2 linked regions of the Canis lupus familiaris genome follow. Each later gene encodes a partner of the first gene's protein in a complex. Links are inferred from orthologs where the notes say so. Each region holds a gene or a part of one and is shown on either strand. Other genes may lie near its edges.

Region 1 (9,467 bases):
TGGAAAATGCGTTTTTGCTACTCTCACATTTGATTGGTCATTCTGCTTAGTGTGGAATTATTGGTTAGAAATAATTTTCTTTCTTTTTTTTTTTTTTTAAAGATTTTATTCACGAAACATAGGCAAATACATAGGCAGAGGGAGAAGCAGGCTCCTCGCAGGGAGCCCAATATGGGACTTAGTCCCCAGACTGGGGTCATGCCCTGAGCCTAACACAGACGCTCAACCGCTGAGCTACTTGGGCATCCCTTATTTGGACTTCTCACAGAAACACTCAAGAATACAGACTGGAACAATGTCCTCAGAATTATGAAGGAAAATTATTTCCGGGACACCTGGGTGGCTCAGCAGTTGAGCATCAGCCTTAGCTGGGCATGACCCTAGTCTGAGGATTAAGTCCCTCATCAGGCTCCCTTGCAAGGAGCCTGCTTCTCCCTCTGCCTGTGTCTCTGCCTCTCTCTGTATCTCATGAATAAATAAATAAAATCTTTAAAAGGGAGAGAGAGAGAAGTCCAAATAAGTATATAGGAAACATTTAAAGTTTTTCACATTTCTACTTGGGATTTAGGTGTTCTAACATCTGGGGCCATTTACTGTCTCTAAAATCAGGAGACCTTGAAGTTCACTCCAGCAGTAGTATCACCTTCCCCTTATAACCTGTATAAGAAAAGGAACAGAGGGAGAGAAAAAAGCTTCATTTGATGCAGATAGCTTGGTTTCCTCACTAGCTGCCTGTCTCTCTGAGGTATGGTAGCCTGAGGGCAGGACCTAACTCTAATTTGTGCCTCATGAGGTAACTACAAAAAAAGCATGTTTTATCAAAATTATCAGTTATTACATAACATAGACCTTTGGATTTACTTACAAACAAGATTGAAATGTTAAAGTTGCAAATGTCACGTAGCTACTGTACATACTGTGTGTTTTCCTTTCTACTCAGTAAATATTTTTTATATTGAGTCTGTTTTTTAGAGGTTAAGTATATTTAAACCAGATCTAGGCCTATATAAATTGCTCATTAGATGGTTTTTGCCTGTTGAGAATTTAGTAGTTAGTGAAAACAAAAAGTATCACCAAAAAATTGCTACAGCTATGTAAGTTTTAGATATTAATTTCTACAGTTTAAAATTCTGCATATGTCCAAAATTTCCAGTTGTAACATTTTTAATTAACTCTTATCCAGAATAAAACTTGCTCTTTCCCTGACCAAATTTTATTTTATTTTAATTTTATTTTTAAGATTTTATTTATTCATTTATGAGAGACCACAGAGAGAGAGAGAGAGAGAGAGAGAGAGAGAGGCAGAGACACAGGCAGAGGGAGAAGCAAGCTCCACGCAGGGAGCCTGATATGAGACTTGATCCCAGGTCTCCAGGTTCATGCCCTGGGCTAAAGGCAGGCGCCAAACCGCTGAGCCACCCAGGGGTCCCCTCAAATTTTATTTTTATGGGATTTTGGCAAACTCTGTTTTATTACTCTTAAGTTCTTAAAAGTCACCATTTTAATGTTTTGATAATGAGAAGTCCACAGTATACGTTTGGTATAAGCTGTTGAAAATAGAAATACTGGCAAAAAGGAATTTATTAAGAGATCTAAGCTGCCCCACACACAAAATGGGCGGTGAAGACAGGTAAGACAGGTTAATATTATAGAAAACCAAAGATAGCTCTGTTTTTTCATGCCCTGCTTTCCATTTATGTTTATAATTTTATAGGTACAGAACTGGAACAGTGAAATTCTTGCTAAACAAAAGCCTCTTATTGCCAAACCTTCTGCAAAGTTGCTCTTTGTCAACAGATTAAAGGGGAAAAAGTGCAAAACTAATTCCTCCACTAAAGTTCTCCAGGATGCCAGTAATTCCATTGATCGCCGAATTCCAAATTCTCAGAGGGTACGTATAATAATAAGTTTTTGAGTGTTGTGCTTCAAATATCTACATTTTAGTTTTCTTGTATTCAGACTGAATATTCCGTAATTTGTATTAGACATTTAATACAAAATACTGTTTTTATTCAAAGAAGTCTTGCATATTTCCCTATCTTTTCTTTTTCAAGCTAGAAACTATAATTACTCCATTCATGGATATGTTGCTTTACTACTTTGGATAGTAATTGTTTGTCATTGTTTGCAAAAATACTATCTTTTTTTTTTTTTTTTTTTTTTTTACTGCAGTGTCTCCCAGTAAAACTGTCCTTCTTTCAGTTTAGAAGTTAGAACAAATTAAACTTAGAGGTTGAAGGATTTTAAAATACTAATTTAAGATAGTATCTGCTAGCATCAATTTCTATTTATTTATACTGAAATTATAATAGAATTAAAAACTATTTTGATGAAAAGTGATCACAGGACTCAGATTACTAAATATAACTATATAATATTTTATTTCTAAATATCAGAAGTATCTTTAATTAAGCTAACCTGCACTCTGATAAAAGAATCAAAATAAATCACAAAGATGATACGTCAAATTATCAAGTCCATTTTTCAATGAGAGCTTTTGGAAAACTTATGGTAGTCTTTTTCTTTCTTTCTTTCTTTCTTTCTTTCTTTCTTTCTTTCTTTCTTTCTTTCTTTCTTTCTTTCTTTCTTTCTTTCTTTCTTTCTTTTCTTTCTTTCTTTCTTTTCTTTCTTTTCTTTCTTTCTTTCTTTCTTTCTTTCTTTCTTTCTTTCTTTCTTTCTTTCTTTCTTTCTTTTCTTTCTTTCTTACAGCTTTCTTTTGGTTCTCTTATCAGCATTCCACCTATGTCTGTACCCTGGTGGTGTCCTTTGTCTTGATTTTTATCAGTAGTTTTTTCCAAGTGTATGACTAACAAAAGGAAATATTATGGGGTATATAATGGACCATGAATATTTTTTTAGACCTAGAGCAGATCTCAGAGGCATACCTTTGTTCAAGGTTTGAGGTCTTAACTAAGCCCACTTAGCCCAACTGAAAATGTCCATACTTCTGAGGCCTCCCTGTGTTTTGATGTTCAGTATTTTGAATTCAAGCCTTTTTTGCCCCTAGGAAAGTCTTGTGAGTGATTACAAGTGCATCTGACTACAGCTTATGTACATACTTAATCCCAGTCCTCAAACTAAACATGTTAAGAACTGTACTCTGAACCCCTCCTGTTTCCCTTAATATATGCCATGTTCTCTGTCCCCCAGGTTAGGAACCCAGGTGTCATTCTAGACTCCCTCTTTTCACTAACCACATCCAGTCAATCCCTGCATCCCTCAGATCTGCCTCCGGCCCCTTCTTTCTGAAAATAAACCTCTGCTGCTATGTATGTCATAGTCCTTAGTGCATTACTGTATCTCTTACCCAGATGTTTGGAATAGGCAACTGAGCTGATTGCTTTCCCTGCATTAACCTCTGCAGCCATTTGGAGGGGCCAGTTCTGTTTCTGTTCAAAGCTGCTTAAAATTATTATTACCAATGCTCCTCTTACTTCATATAGGATAACTTGTTAGTATGTCATACAGAGGCTCTTGTTTGGTGGCCTCTTCCCACCTCTTCACCTCTCCTACCCCCTTTAGTTCATTATCCCCTGAATACTACAAACTTTTAGCATCGCATATTAATCACTATGAAGCATATACCTGTAAATGTGAATTCATTCTTCAGGAGCCAATTCAAATATCACAGTTTCCCTAAAGGATTAGTTTTGCCCGTCTCCTGAAGCCTATAATTTTTTATATAAATGTACCTCTACCATAATACTTATATCATTATGAAAAACAAAATATTTTTTATTAAACATTGCATCTGTCATTTTAAGCTTTGAAGTTTCCAAGTAAAGTATGACGGGTTTCCTTCTGCCCTAAATATTTATTTATATGAGGTTTATGTTTTTTTAAAGAGCTTCAAATCTTTAAATATAGTAAAGGACCTTGGAAAATCACTATGCTTTGTTAGTTTTAAGTTCTTAGAGAGATTAATTTACTTTTAAATTCTTTTGTAGAATCTTAAAACTGAACTTTGAGCCTAGGATCACTTAATTTTTATATAAATCTTTTAGTATCTGAAGTAGTTCCCCAGAGTCTGAGGTACATTTCTTTAGCCTTAGAAATTACAAGGATTAAAAATTAAAATACATAACTAGAATAAATAAAATATAACGAGAAATGCTTTTTATTAGTTGGATTGAAATAACTTTATTATCAAGGTTGCCATCTTGAAATCTTTATAATGAAAATGTCAATTTTTATTTTTAATCTTCATCCTTTATCTTTTGCATATGTATCATGATTTTGCTCCATTGATGATGTGATGATAATGCTGGAATATTAAGATTTTTCTCTCAATATTTCAGAAAGTCAGTACAGATACTATTGGAGATGAAGGGTTCTTTGACCTGGTAAGCCGATTTCAGAGCAATCGGATGGATGATCAGAGGTGCTGTTTACAGGAACAGAGCTGTGGGCCAGCTTCAACTGCAGCGTCTTCCACTCCCCCTAGAGTGATGCTTAAAAGTGAGTAATTGTGGTTCTCCCCCAATTTTAATAGTTTCCTTTGATATTCGTGTGATTTCTTTCTGAGAGTTCAGTTTTCTTCAGTGCAAGTACAGTAAATGAACCTGAACCCAGGTGTATCTGAAATGCTGGTATTTCTTCAGTTCAGAACAAAGTTTTGTTTCAGTTCCCCTAGGTTTATTTGTATTTTAGTTCAGTGCACTTTCAACTAACTGTAACATACTGTCTCCTTAGAGTCTTTGGGACTGGGAAAAAAATCTAACTTTAAAAGTAAAAATAGTAAAGGGAAAAATTTAAGTTATACATACCTTATAATTCTGTGTAAATCACAAATGCTTCCTATCTGGATTTTTATTTTTATTTTTTTTTTAAATTTTTATTTATTTATGATAGTCACAGAGAGAGAGAGAGAGAGAGAGAGGCAGAGACACAGGCAGAGGGAGAAGCAGGCTCCATGCACCGGGAGCCCGATGTGGGATTCGATCCCGGGTCTCCAGGATCGCGCCCTGGGCCAAAGGCAGGCGCCAAACCACTGCGCCACCCAGGGATCCCCCTATCTGGATTTTTAAAAAGCCAAGACAGACTGAGGAGAAACCTATGACTAAGGCGGAAGCTAAGGCCTGCCTGAGCCTTAGAAGGGTTACTTAAAATTTTCTACTTCAGCTACCAAAAGACTTCCTCTGCCATAGACTAGGACTTAACTCTTAGTTAGCTAAATGGTTCCTATCCAGGGCATAGAATAAAGACTGTCTCATTCATCCTCACGTGAGAAATGATATAAGACAATGTATTACCTTCTGAAATCTAGCCCCAGATCTTGTAGAGTTATCTTTTTGGGGGGCAGTAGGCTCCATGCCCAGCATAGAGCCCAACACAGGGCTCAAACTCAACGACCATAAGATCAAGACCTGAGCTGCGATCAAGAGTTGAACACCTAACTGACTGAGCCACCTAGGCACCCCTTGTAAAGTTATATTTTGAGTGGGCATAGATAAAAAGAAATATAGTCTAATCTGAATAACCTTTAAGTGGATCATCTGAAGTACTCTGGGATTTGTTCTTCCCTACCTGCCCATATCATAGGCCCCAGTGTATCAGTGACTCTCAGTGACAAAGCTAAAGCAGGGGGACAGAGTGGATGTTGGGACTGAACAAGGCTGAAAGGAACTATATGTATATTAAAAATATGCTTAAATATTTTTGTGATGTTACGGATTTTTTTCCTATTCATAGCACCATCTGTTTCCATGGTGTCCCCCAACACGGATGAGTTTTTAGACCTTCTTGCCAGCTCACAGAGCCGCCGTCTTGATGACCAAAGGGCCAGTTTCAGTAATTTGCCAGGGCTTCGTCTAACACAAAACAACAATAAGTCTGTACTTGGCCACCTGATGACTAATGACAACAAAGAGCCTGATGAAGATTTCTTTGACATCCTTGTAAAATGTCAAGTATGTATGCATATTTTTGTCATTCTGTGTATGGCTCAGATACTGTTGAGAGCTTTGGCAGTATTATAATTCTAATCTGGGAAGGGCTTATTTTGTATTAGGGACACACTTACCATTCAGGGGTCCATCAGACTCTTTAGATTCCTATGATAGTTTCTTTGTATCATTTTGGGTGGTAAGGCAAGATGAGATGTTGCTGATGACTCTGAGCTGTGGTGGAGAGGAAATTATGAAAGGTAGGGAAGGAGACCTAGAAAAGACACCCTCTTTTATCAATGGTAGGAGAGAGTATCAGGAAAAGCCAGTGATTAATGGGGAGAGTCTAGCGGGAGCCCTTTCTAGACTGCTTTAGGAGAAATTCACATACCAAGATAGCTTTCGTTTTTAGTTATTTTAATAATTATTTGCCAAAATGGTTAAGGAATATCTCAAATGGCTTGAATAGAACCAGAAAAATAATCCTTATTTTCACTAAAGAGACATTTCCTCTGTCTGACCCTGATTCTGTGTGTTTTCTCATTCATAAAAAGATGAGGTAATGACATAATGACACATACATACTACCTACCTCTCATTCATTCAACAGAAAATTATTGAGCGTACACTGTGTTCTTGGCACTAGTCTAGACATTTGAGACACATACTTGGCCTTTAAAGGAGCCTACATTTTAGGATCCTTTAGGAGAGACAGTAAATAAGTCTGTACATATGTATAGATATTATATGTTAGACACTGATACTTGCTATAAAGAAAATTAAAGCCACATAAAGGAGTAAGGTATCTAGTGGTGGTGGTGGTTAGGGAAGATGTTCCATGTGAACAGAGATCTGAATGAGGCAAAACAGCCATGTGAATATTTAGTGGAAGCATTCCATGCAGACACAGCAAGTCTCTTCTTGGCTATAAAAGCTTAGCAGGTTCAAGGAATGGCAAGGTTGCCAGTATGACCGGTGTGGAGTGAATAAAGGGTAAGGGAGAGCAGTAGGAGATGAGGATGGAGAAAGAACCAGCCTAGATCTTATAGGCTATGATGAGGTCTTGTATCCCAAATGTGATAGTAAGACATTGGAGGGTCTGGAAGATCATCCCAGCTACTGCTGAAAGTATGTGAAGTGCCAAAGAGTTAGTAGGAAAACTAGCTAAAAAACCAGTATGGGGGGATACCTGGGTGGCTCAGTGGTTGAGCATCTGCCTTTGGCTTGAGGCATGATCCTGGAGTTCTGGGATCAGGTCCCACATTGGGCTTCCTGCGTGGAGCCTGCTTCTCCCTCTGCCTGTGTCTCTGCCTCTCTCTCTGTGTCTTTCATGAATAAATAAATAAAATCTTGAAAAAAGAAAAGAAAGAAAACCAACATGGGTAATTCAGGGAAAAGATACTGGTGACTTTGACTAGTGTAATGGTGTTAGGAGAGATGATAAGTAGCAGTTGAAATAGGGATATATTTTGAAGTTATGGTTGGATTGGAAAGACCTATTAATAAATGGATGGGAGTTATAAGAAAGAAAAATAATCAAAGAGGGTTCCAACCTTGTTGGCTTTGAACAACTGAATCTGTGAATGGTACAGTTTACTGAAATGGAGAAGTCAAAGGAGAAAGAGGTTTGGGAAGAAAAAGCAGGAGATGTACTTTAGGTAGATAAATTTGAGTTATGTAAGTAGATACTCAAGTGGAGATGTTGAATAAGCAATTGGATATATAAAAATCTGGAGCCCCAGAGAGAAAAGACTTGGGGAGTCATCCGCTATATACTGATGACTGGTATATAGCTGGTATTAAAGCTTTGGGAAGATAGTATCTAAAGAATAGATAAGGAAACACGAAGACTAAGCTCTGGGCATTACAAAATTGAACGGAATAGAGGAAGATAAGCCAGCAAAGCAGCCATCAGCCTGGAGGAATGCTTTCACTAAATATTCACATGGCTGTTTCACCTCATTCATATCTCTGTTCACATGCCAGTCCTGGAACATCTTCCTTAACCACCAACACCCCTAGATACCCTACTCCTTTATATGGCAAAGTGTTTTAAGGAATGTTGAACTCTGTCAAACGCTGCTAAGAAGCCAACTAAGATGATGGCTGATCTAGATTTGGCAACATGCAGATTATTAGTCATTTTGAAAGACACTGTTTTAGGGACATGATGGGGACACAGGATTGAGGAGGTTGAAAACATGGAAAGCGTGAAGGGGGAAATAGTAAACATAGGATAGAGGTGGGGTTTTTTTTTCTTATTTTGGGAGTTAATACTGCATGTCTCTTGATGTAAATGATCAAGTAGAGGGAAGAACCAGTGATGCAGCAGAATATGGGATAATTGAAGTTTTTGTGCAGGTGAGAAGGAAAGCAGAATATATATATATATATGTTTACAGATTTAGAGATAGGTGTAGATAGGACTTCTCTCTGGTTGTTTTTATTTTCTTAGCAAAGTAAGAAGTAGGGACATAATTGGAGATTGGGGTTGAAGCATTGTGATTTTGAAGAAGTTACTTTGAGAAACTGAAAGCATATTGACCAGGGAAAAGTAATAGGATTATTGAGCTACCCTGAGGACTCATTTGAAATTCACTGTCACTGAAGTAAGACAGGTCAGTACAGTGGTGTATTTTCTCGAGGCATAACCAGTTACTTAAGGATACAGAGATTTAATCAAGGTCAGTATTTTGACAGAATAGGATGGAGGGAGAGAGAAACACATGCCAGGGAATGATTTTAATAAGGGACTTGAAATCTAGGCTGCATCTAAGAAGGGAAAGTAAGGAAATGAAAGGTTTAGAAGTGAAAAGTAACAGTGATCCCATGGGTTTTTAAAAAAATTCTAAAGACCCATAACTAATTACAGACCATCAGATAGATATAAATGAAGCAAAAACTGACAGCATTAAAGGGAGAAGTGAACATTTCTACAAAAATAGTTGGAGCACCCTCTCTCAATAATAAGTAGGACAGCCAGGCAGATGATAAAATGAACAACACAATAAACCAGCTAGTTCTTATAGAACATACTTTTCTCTCTCTCTCTCTCTCTCTCTCTCTCTCTCTCTCTCTTTTTTTTTTTTTTTTTTTTTTAAGATTTTAGTTATTCATGAGAGACACAGAGAGCTGGCAGAGACACAGGCAGAGGGAGAAGCAGACTCCCTCCAGGAGAGCTCAATGTGGGACTTGAGACCAGGACCCTGGGATCACACCCTGAGCCAGAGACAGATGCTCAACCACTGAGCCACTCAGGCATCCCCAGAACATATATTCTTCTCAAGTGCATATGGAATATTCTCCAGGATAGCTCAGATGTTAGGCCACAAAAGAAGTCTCAAAATTTTAAAAGATAGATATCATATAGAGTATCTTCTCTGACCATAACAGGATGAAGTTAGAAGCAATAACAGAAGAAAAAATGGAGAATTCACAAATTTGTGGGAATTAATGGGCAGAGAAAAATCACAAGGGAAATTAAAAAATACCTAGAGACTGATGAAAATGAAAACACAATATTCCAAAACTCTGGGATGTAGTGAAGGTAGTACTTAGGAATTTTATAGCTGTAAATGTTTA
Region 2 (9,342 bases), on another chromosome or scaffold:
CCACTCTCAACTTCGGCTTCTCATATCCAGCTATGGCTTCTCATGGTCCCCCACTGCTTATACCAGTGGGCCCATGCTCAGAGAATGGAATGAGGACCAGTTGTAGGGTCCAGGATCATCCTTTCACTCTTGTCCCCCAATCCCTACGCATCAGACTCACATGAAAAGCCGAGACCCAGCTGTCCAAGGCTCTCTTTTCATACTTCATCAAGCCTGAGTCCCATGACCTCCCAGCAGCCCAACTCTTATCTTGGTTCCACTCTGAGGTAGAGTCCTGTCTCCTCTCCCTCCCATCTCCTAATCCCATTTCCCAAAAGACTGTGTCTCAGAAGCCCCAAGCAGCCTTACCTCCTGACCCAAGAGCTGCAGATACTGGCACTCCCATGGGGGAGCTTCATGACTCATCCTCCAAACCTAGTTCCATCTTCCTGGCTCCCTGGAGGAGATGGGAGATGGCTCCCCATCTCCTCCCTGGCTCCCTGGCTTTGTCCCCAGCAATTCCATCCCTCTGATTCCAGAGACCACAGACCTCGGACACTTGGTCTTGTTCTTCATGTTTGATCGGTGTGTGGACTGGGTCACCAGTGCTGGTCTTTCTGCCTCCATAGACACTGGTACGACCCTGATAGTGAGTGCATGCCTCCTCCGGCTTTGCATCCCAGGTGCCTTACTGCCTTCCCCTAGTGCTGGCCCTGCCGCAGCCCCAGCTCCATTTGTCCCATCATCTACCAGACTGGTGCATTTGTATAGCTCTGTTGTTGTCGGGGCCAGTGCTAGGCTGCTTGCTCCCTCTCCTCCCTGGGAAGTGCCCTCTCCTCTTTTAGGGCCAGTGCTCCAGCTGGTGTTCAAGTCCTCAGCCTGGTTCTGAGACGTTTCTGCACACAAGGCCGGAGGGTGCTGTCAGCATAGTTCCTGAGGCATGGCTTACGCGGGGCCGAACACAGCCGGACTGAGTGGAGCTTCAAGAACGGGGATTCTGAAAAAGAGGGCTCCTCAGGGCTTCTCGAGAGCCAGGTAGGGAGAGGTCTAGACTTCCTAGTGAACCTAGACCTATAGCTCTGGCCAAGGGGCTGGGATGAGATAAGCGAGAAGGCTGTGCAGGGGTGATGGGTGGGTGGGGGTTGGAGGGAGTAGCAAGCCAGAGAAAGGCCAGGATGATAGACTGATGTGACCCTGAAATGGTCAAAGTGATCCAACTTGGGGTCTCCAGTAACTAGGAGAGTTGACCCCTTGAATATCGGTGTGAATGTGAAAGAACATGAGGCCTGCTCATGTAGAAGCAAGGGCTGGTTCTGAAGAGCAAAGGTGGACGCCAAAGTTCTGACCCTTGGCTGGGACAGAAGAATCCACCTGTGAGAGACTCTTCATGAGTTCATACCATCTGTATCCCTGGGAGGGTAAAGCCAAGGGGGCAGGAAGATTCCAGGCCACCATGAATTTTGGTTCCAGAAGTGCAGTGTACAGGCTGGCATCTTGCTTGTGTAACTTGTTACTCAGAGCCTGCTTTAGATTTCCCAGTTAAAAAAAGCGAAAGTGAAATAGGGGGGGCGGGCAGTGCTTTCCCAGCAGGACTTCACTAATCCTGCCCTTCCCAGAACCAGCTCCAGCAAAGAGGGCTTTGCCTCTCTTTGTAGTAGTGTCCCTGGCCCCTCTCTGGGTCCCTTTCTTCATCCCTGTAATGAAGGGGTTAGTTAGGGTGGACTCATAATCAGCATGTTAATGGTACTAAGAGCTAGTAGGATGGGGAAAGACTGTCACTAGATGGTCTTTAGCTTTGTTGCTAAGTGCGGAAAGCCCCAGCCTTTGCTGGATGCCTGGAGCAAAGTAGCAGTGCCTGGCAGCCCATTCAGAGGTCAGACCCAGGAAGAGCTGTGGAATATACAGGAAGGACAGGCCCATACAAATGGCTGGGATCCAGGCAAGCCAGAGATGTGAGATAAATGGTTGATTTACATTCTCTTCCGCCCCCAGCTCGAGAGAGGAGGAAGTGGTCACAGATAAATAGAGCCAGGCACGCCAGCTCTTGACACATCCGTCAAGACCATGAGACAGAACTGGACATCAGGTGGGACCTGGGGCTGGCATGGGCGGGGGGTCGGGGGTGGGGGGTGGGATTTGAGAACAGAAGGGAGCCGTGCAGGCGGCCCTGAGCCTTCCCCCCCGAGGGAACTCCATTCTGCTGTTACGGCTTTCAGCCTGTGTCCAGATGCTGTGGTTCTGGCTCCAGTCCCTAAGTCTCCCTGCGCTCCATTCCAACATGCGGGGCCTGAGGAACCCTTCTGCTCCTCTGACCCCCTGTGCAGAGCCCAGGTATCTCTGCGCCAGAGTGTGTCCAGGCCAGGATGTTGAGCATTCCTAGCAGACAGCCCTGGCCTTTGTGTCCTGCTCTCAGATCCCAGCCCTTTGCGGGTCCTGCTTTTGTGTGTGCACATGTTCTGTCACCTGGCTGGAGCCACACCTGTACCTCAGGCCACTGCTGCTGCCTCAGCTGGGATCACAAAGGACTCCTGCCTCTCCTGGCTCCTGACAGCTAAGCAGTGCCCAGCACTGGAGGTGACCGGGCCAGAAGTGGAAGTCCCGCTGAGTAAGGAGCAATTCTGATGGAAGCCCCAAAGGACATAGTGGGCAGGGGTGGGTTTGGGGCACAGAGAGTCCAAGGGTGGGGTTGATTCCCGAGCTTCCCACCCTACCCCACCTACTGCCATGTAGCCCCACCAGCCAGGCCAGCCTGCTAGAGCACTCGGCATGTTCCCTCCGAGTGAGTGTGGGTACAGGGCCCAGCTCCTGAGATGCTCCCTATCCGGTGGGATGGAAAGAGTTCAGACACAAGGATGGTCAGAGGGCCCCAGGGCCTTGACTGCAATACGTTACAAGGCCCGCCTGCCCACCCCGACTCCAGTCTCCAGCCCCCTCACTCGCTGGCCACCTCAGAAGAGCAGTGGCCTCCTGCTGCCGCCTCCTTGGCCAGGGCTCTTAGTCACCAATGGTGAACACTAGAAAAGGCCATCCTGAAGAAAACAGGCTCAGGAGTCCTCACCTGAACCAAGGACCCATCCCCAGATCCCTTTTGTTCAGCCTTGGGCCTCCCTTGTAAACAAGTACACTTCCCAGTTAACGGACTTCCCCACCTGGGTGGTGCGTACAACAGCACTCTGGGTTCCTGAATTGTGGGGACTGGGGGACTTGGGGGCAGGGCAGCACGGCAGAGGGGAGCTAACAGCCACACGTGTCTTTAGATGGAATGCTGACCTTGTCCTGTACTGCCTGCAGCCGCTCTCCCTTCAACATCCTCTTCTGGATGGGCAATGGCTCCTTCATCGAGCACCTCCCAGGTCGGCTGAGGGAGGGCAGCACCAGGTGAGGAGTGCGGTGGGGAGGTCAGCCAACATGGTTGGAGGGGGGCGGGGAGAGGGGCTTCTTCTGCCATCCTCTCATGGCCTTCACTCCTCTTTAGCAGGGAGTCCAGGGGTGAACACACCCAGCTGCGGAGGACTCTGGTGCTAGAGGAGCTGAGCCCCACCCTGCGCAACACCGACTTCTCTTGTGTCTTTGCTGATCCCTCGCACACTACCCAGCAGCATGTTGTCCTGGCCCAGCTCTGGGTGAGAAAACTGAGGGAAGGTTTCCACGGACAGCAGGAGCAGTATGGGGAGGAAAGGGTGGGCTCTGCCCAGAGTGGCCTCCAGCTAATGTCCACCGTGGAGTTCAGGACTCGGGCAGGGGAGGCATGGCTTGGAGGAAGGTGACGAGAGGTCAGCCACCCTTGGCGCTGACCCTTGTCTGCCTTCTCTTCCCCAGGCTGGGCTGGAGACTGTGGCGCCTTCTACCCAAGAAGCCCCACCCTCCAGCAGCCCCCTCTCCCGCCTCATCACGACGGAGAAATTCTGAAGCCTAATTGAGTCGTCACATCTTCACTGAGGTCTCCATGCTCTCACAACTCAGGCCTCCTCCGGCATTGCCTTCATGTTGTATTCTTCCTTTTTCCTTCTAATGCACTGTCCCCACTAAGGGACAGGGGTGAACGCTGTGTCTGGTCCCCAGCTGTGTCTCTGTCACACCCAGCAGGGCCCACAGGGACATGCATAAATGGTTTGTCAATGAAGGCATCTGCTCTGTCATTTAAGCCATCATTCCACTTACAGAACTTGGCTCCTTCTAGGAGGGAGTGTGGGAAGAGGGACTGTTATTCAGAAGCTAAAGGCCAAAACCAGGGGATACCAGCCTTCAAAAGAGGAGAAAGTGTGGAAAGATCCTGGTGCCCCAGAAAGACCAGGAGAAAGGATTGGAGAAGGTAGGTAGTCTGGAAAACTTGTGCTCTAAAGAGCCTACATTTCCCCTTCCCCCACAGACCCAGACCGCACTTAAGGGAGAAAAATAGACTTTATTTACAAGTAATAACATTTAGAAAAGATCCATCCCTGGCCCTTAAAAACCTTCCCATCACTCCAAATCCCACCCCAGTAGAAGTCTGGGGAAGGTGGGAAATAAGCGGCAGCTGAGGCGGCCCCCCGACCCCACCCTGCTGCCCCTGCTGCCACACACAGGCATGGGACCCATCTGTTCTGGAAAAGAGCATCTCTGGGCATCTGAGCCTTTTGGTGGATGGGAGAACCTCTGGGTGCACCCACTAGGTCAATGCCAAGTCCTGGACTTCAAAAAGCAAAGGGCCCTGCTAGATTCGGGAACCAGGAGCAGCAGGGACTGGGGCCTGCTCCTCCAATGGTCCCTTGTGAATCCAGAGGCTGAGGAGGACTGACTCAGCCCTCAGGCCCAGCCGCTCAAAGCCGGCCTCAAGTCTGGTTGTGATGGACAAGCGACTTTGCTTTATGAAAACATGAGGCAAGGTAGGGAGAAGACCTAGACTCTCCAGGCCTCTGGGGCCAACTCTGAGGACACATCTGTTCACCTAGTGAAGGCTCCAATGAAGATCGAGGTACCAGGCCGGGGTGTGGGCAGACATCACTGTCTCTACGGGTTTGGCCACTTTTGGCCTGGGAGCTGAGAGAAGGCACTGAAAGGGACAGCAGAAGGAAAAGGACCAGGCGAGGTCGGCATTGAGGACACAGGTGGGGCCTCTCACTGGTCCTGGCCCTTTAGTGCTTTGCCTAAAAGAGAGAAACACAATCACTTGGCTGACAACTCGTGATACCAGCCTGTACCGGATGGCTGCAGGAGGCCTCTTTTAGCTCCTGAAGCCCCCTGACTACCTTCCCTTCCATGGGGTGACCTGGACACATCTACTTGCAGATTATTGGATCCCGGCTGTGCCTAAACAGCCTTGGGTCTCCTCTCTTCCACGAGCAGGTAACCAAGACAGGAAGTGCCCACATTTAGCCCACCTCCAGCAGCCTAGCTGGGCCCTGCCTTGGAAACCTCCCGAGGGGTGGCCTGGGGGTGTGCCATACTTCTACCCACTTCCCTTCCCCATCAGTGCCTCCACCTTGCCCTTGGCCCGAGGGGTGGCAGTGGCAGCAGCGATGGCAGCCGCCGTGGCAGCGCTGGCTGCAGTGGTGGCGATGCGTGGAGAGCGGCGGGTCCCGCCACGGGTGTTGGGGGAGGCCTTGGACAGGGCTTTCTTTGAGGCTCCCCTCCGCAGCAGGCTGTTTCCGAGCTTCTTGGGTGTATTGAGGATGCTGAAAGCCATTGACTGGCGGCGGTCAGCCTGTTGGGGAGGGAGGGGCTGTCAGACTGGGCTGCGTTCATGCCCTGCCACCAAGGTCCCTCCAGGGGCTCCCTCCAGCCTCCCGCACTGACCTATTTTTTTTTTTTTTTTTTAATTCATGAGAGAGACCTAGACCTAAGGAGAGGGAGAAGCAGGCTCCATGCAAGGAACCTGATGTGGGACTTGATCCCAGGGCAGAAGGCAGGCACTCAATGGCTGAGCCACCCAGGCGTCTGTGTCATATCCACCCCGCCACCCCCACATTGACCTGCTTAACAACCGGAGCGGCTTTCTTCTGGGCCTCAGTAGTGCTCTGTTTGCGCCCTTCGTGTCGGTCCCGGGGAGTCATGGGGCGTGGGAAACAGCTGGTGGCCTTCTTAGACTATGGGGAAGAGAGGTTCATATCCAGAGCCAGGCGTGTCTCTCAGAGCCAAGGGGGCCTGTAAGTCAACACCGCCTCCCTTCCCAACCGTCCCTGCATTGAGCCCCTGGAGAGTGAAGACTCTCTATTAATCCACTTTTCAAACTTGGGTAGCGGGGCTTGGCCTGGGCAAGCTATACACGGAATAAAGAAGGAGCCAGGGCCACCTACCTCGGGGGTACCAGGGCCCTGGTGGGGCTCTGAGGAGACCCGTTTGCGCTGCTGCCGGGTGGTGATGCCCGTGCCCTCGGCTATCTGGGCCGGCTGCATGCTGGCTCGGCGCAGGGTCTCCCGGGGGTCGCCAGTTTTCATCTCCTCATCTGTGATGGTAGCCAGGCTCAGGGAAGGCTGTGTGGGGTGGAAGGAGTGGTCAGTGGGGCACAACTGCCCCAGAACAACTCATGGGCCTGGCACGTACAGTAGCTCAGCAGCTCAAGCCTTCCCGTGGGCCGCAGGCCTCCCTTCCTGTTGTCTTCTCTCCTGCCCTACACGATGGCCACAGGAGGAGACCGGAACAGACCTCCTCCACACACTCAGGCCTGCCCACGGGGACTTCACCCCGAGCCCCTCTGTGCCAGCTACCCACTGGAAGCACACCGTCACCCTCTGCAGCAGGCCAGAGACCCAGGGCACTAGGGCCAGTGGGTAGTATTGGGGTGGTGTGCCAAGGGAGGAGGAGGAGGGGAGCCAGCATGGGGCCCGAGCTCACCCTGGACTCCAGGGGGTAGCAGGTCTTCAAGTGTGGGGGGCACACCCGGTTGCGCTGCTGCAACTCCGCGATGCGGTTCCAGTCATCCAGCTGCTCTGGTTCATCCTGGCAAGTGCCCATGTAGAAGCTGTTCCTTCCTGTGGAGAGAGAGCAGGGAGATGGGAGCAGGGGGGCTGGAAGGCCAGGAAGAGTGAGGAGAGTGGCAGCGGGTCATTCCCTGGTCCTGGTGCCGTGCCAACCGTTGCATCCGCCACTCCTGTCCCTGTGTGTGGACCTACTTCAAGCCTAGGGCCCCAGAGTCCTGCTCTGCTCAGTGCTGCAGATCCAGGAGTGGGGCTCACGGGCCATTTTTACCACCAGGGCTGGCTCACTGCTCTCCCCCTGGGGAGGTTCAAAGAGCTCATCTGCAGAGGCTGTGACATCTTAGAGGCACTAATTAAGGACAAGGAATTGAGATCTAGGGGTCCTGAGGGCAAAAGCCTTCAACAAGAATCTAAGAACACTGGCCCAGCAAGGCTCTTCTGGCACCCCTTACCACGAGATGGGGTAACAGGAGCTGAGTGTCGCTGTCACACTGGCAATCCCACCCCCTGTGAGCAGTTCCCATTCACCCTGGCTGAGATGAACACCCGCCCTCTGCCCAGCGGAGCCCCTGGACCAACAGGCAAGGCCCTGAGACGGCAAGGAAGAGGGGCAGGTGAGGAGCCGGAAGGCAACCAGCCTCGGGGTTTTGAAAGCTTGTCTCTTTCCTGTGCCAGGATCTCCTCCCCGTCTCATCTTCATCTTTGTGTGTGCAAAACCCCTCTGGTCCCCTCACCTGGAGGGGCCCCACTGGACACCCCAGCCTGGGAGCGGCGAGCAGAGCTGCGAGTGGTGGGCCGGTAGCCAGGAAGGCTGAGCAGAGCCGAGTTGCCGTCATCAGGGGAGCCTAGGCGAGCTAGAGACTGGGTAGAAGAGGTGGCGCGTGGGCCGGCCTGGGAGGCAGGGGCCGACTGTGTGCTGTAGAAGGAGGAATTGGCACTATCCGGCTCTTCCACGTCTAGCTTCTGGAAGAGAGAATGAAAGTGGTGGGGCGGAGTCCTGACAACCCATGAACCCATGCCGAGGCTGCCTGTTCCCCTCCCCTGAGCGCCTCACATCCCAGCACCACACTGTGTGTCATGTCCCGTCCCGTGCCCTGCCCTCCCCCCCCCCCCCCCCCCCCCGGATCCTTAGCTGCACATGTGTAAGAACTCGGCTTGGGGACTAAGATTCCTACACTAGGTGCTGAGGTGACCTCATTTTCTCTTGCCTACTGACAGTGCATAGTAGTAGCAGAAGGCAGAGTATGTAGCAGATCATTTTAGAATCCAAGTGCAAGGAAATAAGTGATCAACCTCCAGGCCACAGCTAGCAAGGGCTGAGCTGGGGCTGCAATGCTTGCTTGTCCCCTGCTTGTCTCTCGGGGCCATCAGGCTCCTCCCACAGCTTCTGCCGTCCTTCAACCCAAGCCTGCCAGCGCCCTGCCCATTGTGTAGTTCTCCAGCTTCCTGGTAGCAAGGGCAACCCACACACAAGAGGGGACCTCTGCCGTACCCCCCAACCTCCTCAGGATACGGAGACAAGGGCCAGTCAGAGCCCGCAGCCTGGCGAGCAGCCCTCTGCGGGGGCCACAGTGCACGGCAGCTACCTCGGAGGCGTGGAGGCCCGGGGTGAGGCTACGACTTCCCTCTCCCTCCGGCTTGCACAGGATCAGTGCCTCCAAGCCAGGAGGCATCCAGGTCTAACCTTGCCCCTTCCTACAAAAGAGGCCTCACCTATCCTTGTACTGCTTGGGGTCTTAGCTTTTCCATCTGTAAGATATGGACTAGTCAGCCCTGCCCGTCTCTGGAGGGTGTTGTGAGGGCCCAATGGGAAAGACGCCCTTACGAGCAAGGAAGGGCACTGTCCTGCAGCCCCACTCCCAGCGGCCTGACCTTGGTCATGGTGATGTTGATGATTTGTGTGGTGCGCCGACGAGCAGAGCGTGTCTTCCGGCCTGAGTCCAGGAAGCCGTCCCCCAGGGAGTCCAGGCTGCTCTCCAGTGGGGCCTGACCCCGAGCAGGGATGGGGGTGAAGTAGAGAGACTCCAGGGATTCTACCTTGGGGGGCAAGCGCTGGGAGATGGGCGAGGCTGGCTCTCCGGGGATGCTGGTACCATCTGGCTGGGTTCGGGGCAGCTTGCTGTGGAAAAAACATTTTGTTCATTCCTTTGATCCAAAGTGGCCAATTCCTACATTTATAAGCAGACCAGGTCAAGCACCCCACTCTCACTCTGACTTTTGAGAGGCACCAGGGAAGAGTCTTTGCCCTGGGCCCTCCCTTCACCCCATTCTCCATTCCTGGTGAGCCCATCTACTCCAGTGGCTCTCTGAGCTCCTGAACACTGGCAACTCCTGGACTCCACTGTCCCAGACATCCCCATCCACCCCGCCCCGGACACTCAGCTCCGCAGTGAACATCTCCAAACGAAGTCCACCCATCTGTTCCTCCTGCATCTCCTACTTCAGTGAATGGGAGCAGCCTCCAGCT

The links.
Region 2: the proteins of GPSM2 (region 1) and NUMA1 are in contact, whole or in part, in a crystal structure (PDB 6HC2), measured with the Homo sapiens proteins. The link is inferred for Canis lupus familiaris from reciprocal best matches to the Homo sapiens genes GPSM2 and NUMA1. Residues at the interface, in NP_001307967.1 of Homo sapiens: Ala28, Leu29, Glu32, Cys35, Lys36, Phe47, Lys59, Thr60, Ser62, Ala63, Ile64, Ser66, Gln67, Asn70, Ala71, Phe73, Asn110, Lys113, Tyr146, His153, Lys157, Pro164, Gln165, Arg203, Gly206, Asn207, Asn210, Tyr213, Leu214, Arg228; in NP_006176.2 of Homo sapiens: Ser1901, Phe1902, Tyr1903, Met1904, Gly1905, Thr1906, Cys1907, Gln1908, Asp1909, Glu1910, Pro1911, Glu1912, Leu1914, Asp1916, Trp1917, Asn1918, Arg1919, Ile1920, Ala1921, Leu1923.

Annotation. Positions count from the first base shown.
Region 1 is NC_049227.1:43,298,642-43,308,108, reverse strand, and holds part of GPSM2 (G-protein-signaling modulator 2), read left to right. Parts: intron 1-1,714; coding exon 1,715-1,891; intron 1,892-4,298; coding exon 4,299-4,458; intron 4,459-5,691; coding exon 5,692-5,909; intron 5,910-9,467. UniProt on the Homo sapiens protein: Plays an important role in mitotic spindle pole organization via its interaction with NUMA1. Required for cortical dynein-dynactin complex recruitment during metaphase. Plays a role in metaphase spindle orientation.
Region 2 is NC_049242.1:26,189,387-26,198,728, reverse strand, and holds the end of NUMA1 (nuclear mitotic apparatus protein 1), read right to left. Parts: intron 8,995-9,342; coding exon 8,748-8,994; intron 7,839-8,747; coding exon 7,610-7,838; intron 6,930-7,609; coding exon 6,793-6,929; intron 6,432-6,792; coding exon 6,255-6,431; intron 6,045-6,254; coding exon 5,931-6,044; intron 5,663-5,930; coding exon 5,441-5,662; intron 5,106-5,440; coding exon 5,094-5,105; 3' UTR 4,362-5,093; downstream 1-4,361. Other genes in the region: IL18BP (interleukin-18-binding protein), read left to right, coding at 3,242-3,357, 3,455-3,602, 3,799-3,888. UniProt on the Homo sapiens protein: Microtubule (MT)-binding protein that plays a role in the formation and maintenance of the spindle poles and the alignement and the segregation of chromosomes during mitotic cell division.